2 linked regions of the Cricetulus griseus genome follow. The protein of the gene in region 2 interacts with the protein of the main gene of each other region in a pairwise test. Links are inferred from orthologs where the notes say so. Each region holds a gene or a part of one and is shown on either strand. Other genes may lie near its edges. The genes, in order: Anxa4 and protein-arginine deiminase type-4.

What was found.
Region 1: the proteins of protein-arginine deiminase type-4 (region 2) and Anxa4 interact in binary tests that used the Homo sapiens proteins (3 or more experiments, as listed by UniProt). The two-hybrid records come from large-scale screens. The link is inferred for Cricetulus griseus from reciprocal best matches to the Homo sapiens genes PADI4 and ANXA4.

The regions. Positions count from the first base shown.
Region 1 is NC_048601.1:58,492,124-58,495,941, forward strand, and holds part of Anxa4 (annexin A4), read right to left. Parts: intron 3,407-3,818; coding exon 3,316-3,406; intron 904-3,315; coding exon 824-903; intron 1-823. UniProt on the Homo sapiens protein: Calcium/phospholipid-binding protein which promotes membrane fusion and is involved in exocytosis.
Region 2 is NC_048595.1:12,490,443-12,494,260, reverse strand, and holds part of protein-arginine deiminase type-4, read right to left. Parts: intron 2,072-3,818; coding exon 1,891-2,071; intron 1-1,890. UniProt on the Homo sapiens protein: Catalyzes the citrullination/deimination of arginine residues of proteins such as histones, thereby playing a key role in histone code and regulation of stem cell maintenance.

The sequences.
Region 1 (3,818 bases), on a different chromosome or scaffold from region 2:
GCTCCCAGTGGAGTGTGAACCCCATTGTGACCCTTGATTTTGCAAAGTTGTCTCTTCCATTAGAAGAACATTAACATCTTTCTCCCGGCTCCCAACCCCACCCCTGCACTGACACAGCTGATTCAGTCTTCTTAACTAGTCAGTCTTCATTGGTCAAGAGAATGCTAGACCTGAGGTAGAACTGTTGAAGCTGATGCAATGCCAGTGCCAAATACACCAGCTCCAGCATTGAGGGCCACAGGAACCCCTGAAGGGATACGAATGAGTGATAGACAGGCACTGCCTTCCAGTTTGGAAGACTGTTCTTTAAAAAAAAAAAAGATTTTTAAAAAAGTGCATGCATTGTGTGTGTTGTATATATGTGTGTGTCATATGTGTGCAGGTGCTTATTGAGGCCAGAAGAGGGCAGTCAGTCTCCTGGATCTGGAGTTACAGGTGGTTGTGAGCCATCCAATGTGTGTGGGGGGTTTATTTAACTCAGGTCCTCTGCAACCTCTCCAGTCCTGCCACTGTATAAACGTCTAAAACACAGAAAGTTATCTCTCCATATCCTTGTAATCCAATGCACTTTGTAATAGAGGTAGCTGGCACAAACACGGGACCCATGAACAGTGAATTAAAGTAGAAGAAATGGTTGGGCATGCATGACTAGCCAAGGTCTCTGAAGGAGAAATAAGATAAAGGGATAGAGCAGCCCGGGGATGACACCTGGGGAGTGCTCATGTTTAGGAGACTGAATGACTGAAGGGCGGGTAAAGGAGGGTGCATGTTTCAATCAACCCAGCATCCCCTATCAGAAGCCATCACCAAGGAAGTCACGCACCGCTGCCAGGGACACCAGTACTCGCTGGAACATGAAGGATGTGTCTGAGCAGATGTCCTCTTCAAGGCTCCTTCCATATTCTGCCAAGAAATTGAAAATGGGTACATCAGAACAGAGTCCTGCCTAGTGCTGTCACCCTCCAGCAAGCTCTGTCCCTCCAAGGCAGCATGTTCATGGGAGCAGGTCAAACCAAAGTGGTACCCCATGTGAGGTTTTCTAAATCTGAACTCTGTGTGGCCCCAGCCATCCCTACAGGTCTATAAGAAGGTAATGGTTGCTGGGCAAGGGGAGGCAATTCCTTCAGTGGTGTAACCATCAGTAAAGCAGCCATGATCCTGTAGGTAACTGCTCACCCATGCTGCTGTAGGTAACTGTTCACCATGTTCCTGTAGGTAACCCTTCCCCTATGTTCCTGTAAGCAATTCTAATGAAGCCCATTAGCTCATAAAAATGGCAACAACAAACAAAAAAAAACAAATGGTAAATATGACCTAGTAAATATGACCATGTATGTGCTATGGCTGTCTCTTTAAGATGGTGGGGATCAAGAAGACAGGGCTGGAGTCCTCTTTGGTTTCCTTCTGTCTGAGACTCTGCTCTGCACTTGTCTGAACGGAAGCTTGTTGTGGAATATTACTTTAACTAGGTAAAGATATGTTACATTTGTTTATGCTACACAGAGTATTACTTTAACTGTGTAAAGGTGTGTTACATTTGATTATGCGGCATTTGTTTAATTATGTAAAGATGTGTTGCATTTGTTTCACCTTGCCTGCCTAAGTCACCTGCTTGGTCTAACAAAAAGCTGAACAGCCAATAACTAAGCAGTAAAAGGATAGGTGGGACTGGTGGGCACAGAGAATTAGAAGAAGAGAATGAGGGAGAAAGAGAAGAAGATGCCTGGAGCCAGCCAGGCAGCCACCGGCCAGCAGCCACAGAGTAGGACATACAAAAAGAAAGGTAAAAAGCCCTGAGGTGAAACATAGATTAAGAGAAACAGGCTAATTTAAGTTAAAGGGGAAAAAAAGCTAGCCAGAGATGAGCCTAAGCTAGGCTGAGCATTCGTAACTAATAAGAAGTCTCTGTGTCATGATTTGGGAATTGGTTGGTGGCCTAAAAGAAAAAGCCTGCTACAGAAGCTGTTGAAGGTTACTAGTGTCACAGGACAGAGGTCCCCAGAGAGGTTCTAACAGATCTCTCTGATGAATGACACTCTCTATAGCTACAGAAGCCAATGTGGACACATGCCAGGGTTAGGGGCTAACTCCAACCCTATGTGGGACTGTGTGGGAGGCATGGGGGTTCTTATGCTCACAGATAAGCACTAGGGCGACCAAGAGTGTTAAACACACAGGATTTCTCCTTCAAAGAAAGGGGTGTACAAGCTGCTATCCACCCAGAAGGCTGGCAGCAGATGTGGTTAATAGCCTGGTGACCTTTGCACTGTCTGTGTGGACAAGACCACACTAGATCCTCCCCAGACCCTTATCATGAGCCTGCCAATCTATAGAACTTATCTTTATGGGAGGTGTCACATGTAATCCAATCTATAGAACCCATCTTTATGGAAGGCATCATAGATACTTTCCAAAGAGTTTCAATGTAGTCATATCTTGAATTTTATTGTGCACACAGGGTTGGGTTGATTATCACCAGGAAATTTTTCATCAAATTGTGCTGTGCTTAAATATGCCTAAAATAAATGACTCAGGGTCAAAGTTTGAACCAACACTGGCTACGTAGTCATGTTGAACCAAATTGCCTTCTTGCCTCCCCTTACTCTTCTGGCTGTGGTGATCACAGAGAACCCCTACAGGGCTGAAATCAGGGTTATGGGGCTAAATCCAAAACCTTCAGGGTCAGGGGCTAACTTCAGACTCTCATGGTTTAGGTTCAACCTCTGAACCCTGTGCAACACTCCTTACTGCATGACTGTTTCCTCCACAGAAGTGACGCATATTAACTATGGAAACCCAGGGAACACTAATGCTGGGGTATAGCTCCAGCCTAGCTTGTAAGAGACTCCAGGGCCCATTCCTAGTACCCTGGTGGGTGATCCATATATATGGCAGAAATCTGAGGAAAAATAAGTAAAATAAAGGGGAGAAAGCTCCACCATAATCTAATAGCTGAGATATAACAGTCACCAGTCTTGTTTTTAAGTCATAGGCAACCTGTGCCGGGGTCTGGAGTGTGGTGATATCTTGCTTGTACAAATAAAACCTGTCTGAGGGTCAGAGAAATGAGTTTGCCACTAGCTAACCATAGAGGTCTGTATAGACAGACAGGGAGTGAGGTAGTTGGGCAGAAACAGGGTATAAACAGGGAGAAACGGGAACTTGCTCTCTTGTCTGCTGAGAAGCTTAGGAGGTAAGGTGCATTGTGGCTCCTCCTTCTCTCTGATCTCTCAGCATTTCCCTCTATACCTGACTCTGGCATTTTATTATCTAGACCAGTTAAGAACTCCATTTACACTGGAGGATGCTACTCACGCTGCTGGTAAGTCTGGTTGATTCGACGGATCTCCTCAGGGGTACGAGAAGCCAGGATCTCTATCAGGCAGCCTTCATCTGTGCCAGCTCCCTAAATGTGAGGCCAGAGATGAGGATGGTATGAACCAGTGGATCAAGTTAATCTGCAATTTTTATGCAGAGTTAAACAAATAAAGTAATAATACAATTAAGCTCACAACTGAAGAACTTGAGCCCCACACTCAGAGAAATGTAGGTGTGAAGCTGCAGGGTAATGCCAGCCCACTGGGGTCCAGGAGCAGGGCCTGTTAACTTTTACCTGGCCTGCCTAAGCCCAGTGTATTCACCATAATCATTATTCATAATAACACACACTTGTACAGCCTGGCTGCCACCTGTTGCTTGTCATAGCAAGTTAGGCGCAGTTTCTGCTTTCTGTGGTCCTGCTCGTTCCTTGACCTCTGCTCTCTTTCTCTGGAGGTCAGATGTTCTGGCAAAACTTTGTTACTTCCCTTTCCCCAGAG
Region 2 (3,818 bases):
TGTCAACTTGACAAAATATAAAGTTATCTGAAAGGAGGGAACCTCAATTCAGAAAATGCCTGTATTGAGAAAGTTCTGACTGTAGGGCATTTTTTAAATTAGTGATTGGTGGGGGAAGGCCCAGCCCAGTGTGGGTGGGGCTGTCCCTGGGCTGGTGGTCCTGGGTTCTATAAGAGAGCAGGCTGAGCAAGCCCACTAGTGAGCAACACCTTCCATGCCCTCTGCATCAGCTCCTACTTCCAGGATCCTTTTCCTGTTTGAGTTCCTGCCCTGGCTTCCTTTCATGATGAACAGTGCTGTGGAAGTGTAAGCTGAATAAACCCTTTCCTCCCCAACTTGTTTTGGTCATGGTATTTCATCACAGCAATAGAAACCCCAACTGTAGCTTGAGAAGTTCTCAGAAGGGGAGTAGGGGGTCAGCAGCTGGAAATGAGGTTCAAGAGGCATAAGAGGGAAAGAGAGGCAGGTGGTAGCTCTGTGCAAACAGGGAGGCTGGGGTGGGTCATTACACTGTGAAGATGTGTTGCTCTCATTTGTTTAATAAAGAGCTAAATGGCCAATAGTTGGCAGGAAGAGGTTAGGTGGGACTTTTACACAGGAAGAGAGCTCTGGGATGAAGAAGGGTGGAGTTGTCAGGAGACGTGGGGAGAAGCAAAGTGAACATGCCATACTGAGGAAAGGTTACTGAGCCACGTGGTAGAACGTAGATAAGAAATATGGGCTAATTTAAGTTATAAGAGCGAATTAGTAACAAGCCTAAGCTATTGGCAGAGTATTTATAATTAGTAATAGTCTCTGTGTGGTTATTTGGGAGCTGGCTGGCAGGACAGAAAATTCCACCTACATGCAAGCTGGTGTGGTGATTTGCTGCAGCGGCCACTGGAAACTAACATCAGGGCACAGAAGGTGCCCCTGGGGGCTCCCTGCCTGTGACCTTCAGGGACCCCATGGCCACATATATGAGGTCTACCTGCATGTTACCTGATGCCCACAAGGACTATAGCCTCCTACGCCAGTGCCTTGCTTATTTCTGCATGAGATGGTGTTTATTAAACAGTTGCTAAGTGGATGAACTTGATCCGGATTCCAGCCTTCACAGGCCCCTGCAAGCTCCACTGTGAACTTGACTGCATTTAGAACTGGGAGACCCACCACTGGGTGTACCTATGAGCTTGTTTCCAGCGAGGTTTAACTGAGGAGGGAAGTCCCACTCGGGATGTGGTGATGGCACTGTCTGGTGGGCTAGAGTCAAGACTGAGTGGAAGGGAGACGGAGAAAGCAAGCTGAGCACCAGCATCCGTCTCTCTCTGCTTCCTGACCGAGGATGCTGCCTCAGGCCCCTGTCACTGAGCTCTCCTGCCATGATGGACTGTGCCCCTAAGCTGTGAGCCAAAATAAGCCCAGCCTTCCTTAATCTGGTTTTTATTGGGTATTTGATCCCAGTGATGAGTACAAGATTGACAAGCATCCGTGTCCTATCCATGAGGACACTGTGGAGGGAGGAGTCACTGAGAACTTGGCCAGGAGAAGGAGACTCTCCCAGAGTGAGCCCTGTACATGGAATCAGACTGGGTACAGCAGCTGTGGGGCTGACATCTCCCACCCTCAGCCCCCCACTCCAGGCACCAGGGCCCCACACCACCCTACCCACCAGACCCTTACCCTATCCCACCAATCAGCCCCCAGCCCACCAATCAGTCCCCGAGCCCACCTTCAGCCCCCTACCCCAGCCTCATTCCCCTCCACCCCCCCACTGCCCACCTCCCAGGCTCCAACCCACCCTCCTTAGCCCCCTCAGCCAAACCCCCTCAACTCTTCATTCCCCCACCCTCAGCCCTCCACCCACCCCACCCAGAAGGTCCCCCCCTGCACCCCAGTCATCACACCCACCTTTTGGTCATCTGTGTGGCCGCTGGCTGCTTTGACCTGTAGGGTCACCTCCAGCTCTGGGTCCAGAGGCCATTTGGAGGCACCAGTGGTGTTCTTCTTGGCTGGAGGACTGTGAGCAACATGTACAACCACTCCTGGCGAGGCTGTGATGCCAAAGGACGTGCAGCCCTTAGGGGCAGAGCTGTGGAGTGAGACAGGGGCCAGCAGAGGCACTGGTGGTGAGAGGGCCTGGCCCACCACCACACTGGTCCCAGCCGTCCCCCTTTCCCCGGCAGGAAGAAACACAGGCCACCAATGGGCTTGCTCTGGCCAGACAGTAAATATGGTATGATTGCCAGAAAGGAATGAGAAAATAGAATGGGAATCCTCAGACTGGAGGCCTTACACTTGAACTAGAGAGACAGCAGCAGGAGGTGTGTAACAAAGGTACCTCCTGCACACCCATGGAGCAGTGTGCACACAGGGGACCTTCAACAGTGGACATGCCAAGAGCTGTGTGCATATAAAGAATCGCACACAGGGGACTGGAGACAGGGCTCAAAATATATCCCACAACAAAAACCCCACAACCACAGCCAAAACAAAACCACACAGATTTCGGAAGTTGTGACAGGACAAATAATCTTTTTTTTTTTTTTTTTTTTTTTTTTTTTTTTTTTTTGAGACAAGGTCTCACTATATAATCCTGGCTATCATGGAACTCACTCTGTAGACAAGGCTGGCCTGGGACTCATAGAGATCTTCTTGCCTCTGCCTCCTGAGTACTGGGATTAAAGGCGTGCACCATCACACAGGGAGGCAGAGCAGGTAGACATTCTTGAGGCTCATCCTCTTACAAACAACATGAGTTTGAGAGGGAGTAGCTGAGGGGACAGGAGTAGCATTGGAGACCAGAGAGGGAGGGGAGGAATGAGGTCAGTATGGTACTCGTGTATGTATGAAATTCTCAAAATAAAATTTATAAAAGTTGTTGGGGGTCAAGCTCAGAGGTCCTGACAAAAGGACAAAGGGAACTTCAGTTCTTGGTCCTTGCTTGGGGTGGACTTGGCAAGAAGGTCCATCTGGGCCTTGAAGGAGTTAAGGTTTCAGTTCCTGGGCATCTGATTCTTTTCTGGGGAAGAGACTGGGGTTGTCCATCCAGGGCTACTGTGTGCTCAGTCGTGATGCTCTTGAGACACCATGTGTTCCCTTTGTGCAACACTGCTTGGCTAGCTTCCTGCTGACTTTGTAGCGTTGTGTGATAGCTTTCTGCTGTCTCTGCCCCTCCTTTCAGTAAACTGATTAGAGGGTGCTCTAGTTCTCCATAAACTCTTGGTGCAAGCCATCAGCTTAGGCAAGATCTGGTCTCAACTTCCCTATCTTTGTCTTCTCATCTTCAATGACCCTGTCATTGAAGAACCACCCACTGCAGGTCCAGGTCAGATGAGCTTAGGACCATCTCCAGGGATACACTTTCCCTATCGGCATTCTTCAGCCACCTGCCACAGGCAAGGCGTGGTCCTAGGCACAGGAGCAGCTGCCTCAGCCTCCCCTGGAAACAGGAAGACAGGTTCCCAGGCTTGGTCCTCAGACCTGTTGCTGCAGACTTGGAACCCAGTGATCTGAGCTTCCTCCTGTCCCCAGGGTGCTCTGTGCACCCTCAGGCATGAGAACCACACCCAGGAAGCTACTGAAAGGCAGCTGCTGAGTTACCCAACTGAGTGGAAGCTGAGGGACCTGGAACCTAGGCTCAACCAGGCACAAATGAAGCTGGTGGCTGAGAAAACCTGTTGTTGTTATTATTATTATTACTATTATTATTATTTTATGAGGCGATTGTTTAATTTCAAAGTCAACAGAACCTGCTGGACAGGATGAAGAGCAACGCCCAGGTTTCTTTCTCAAGCGACTCTGAGGTGATGAAGCTGGGGGCAGGGAGCAGTTGCCGG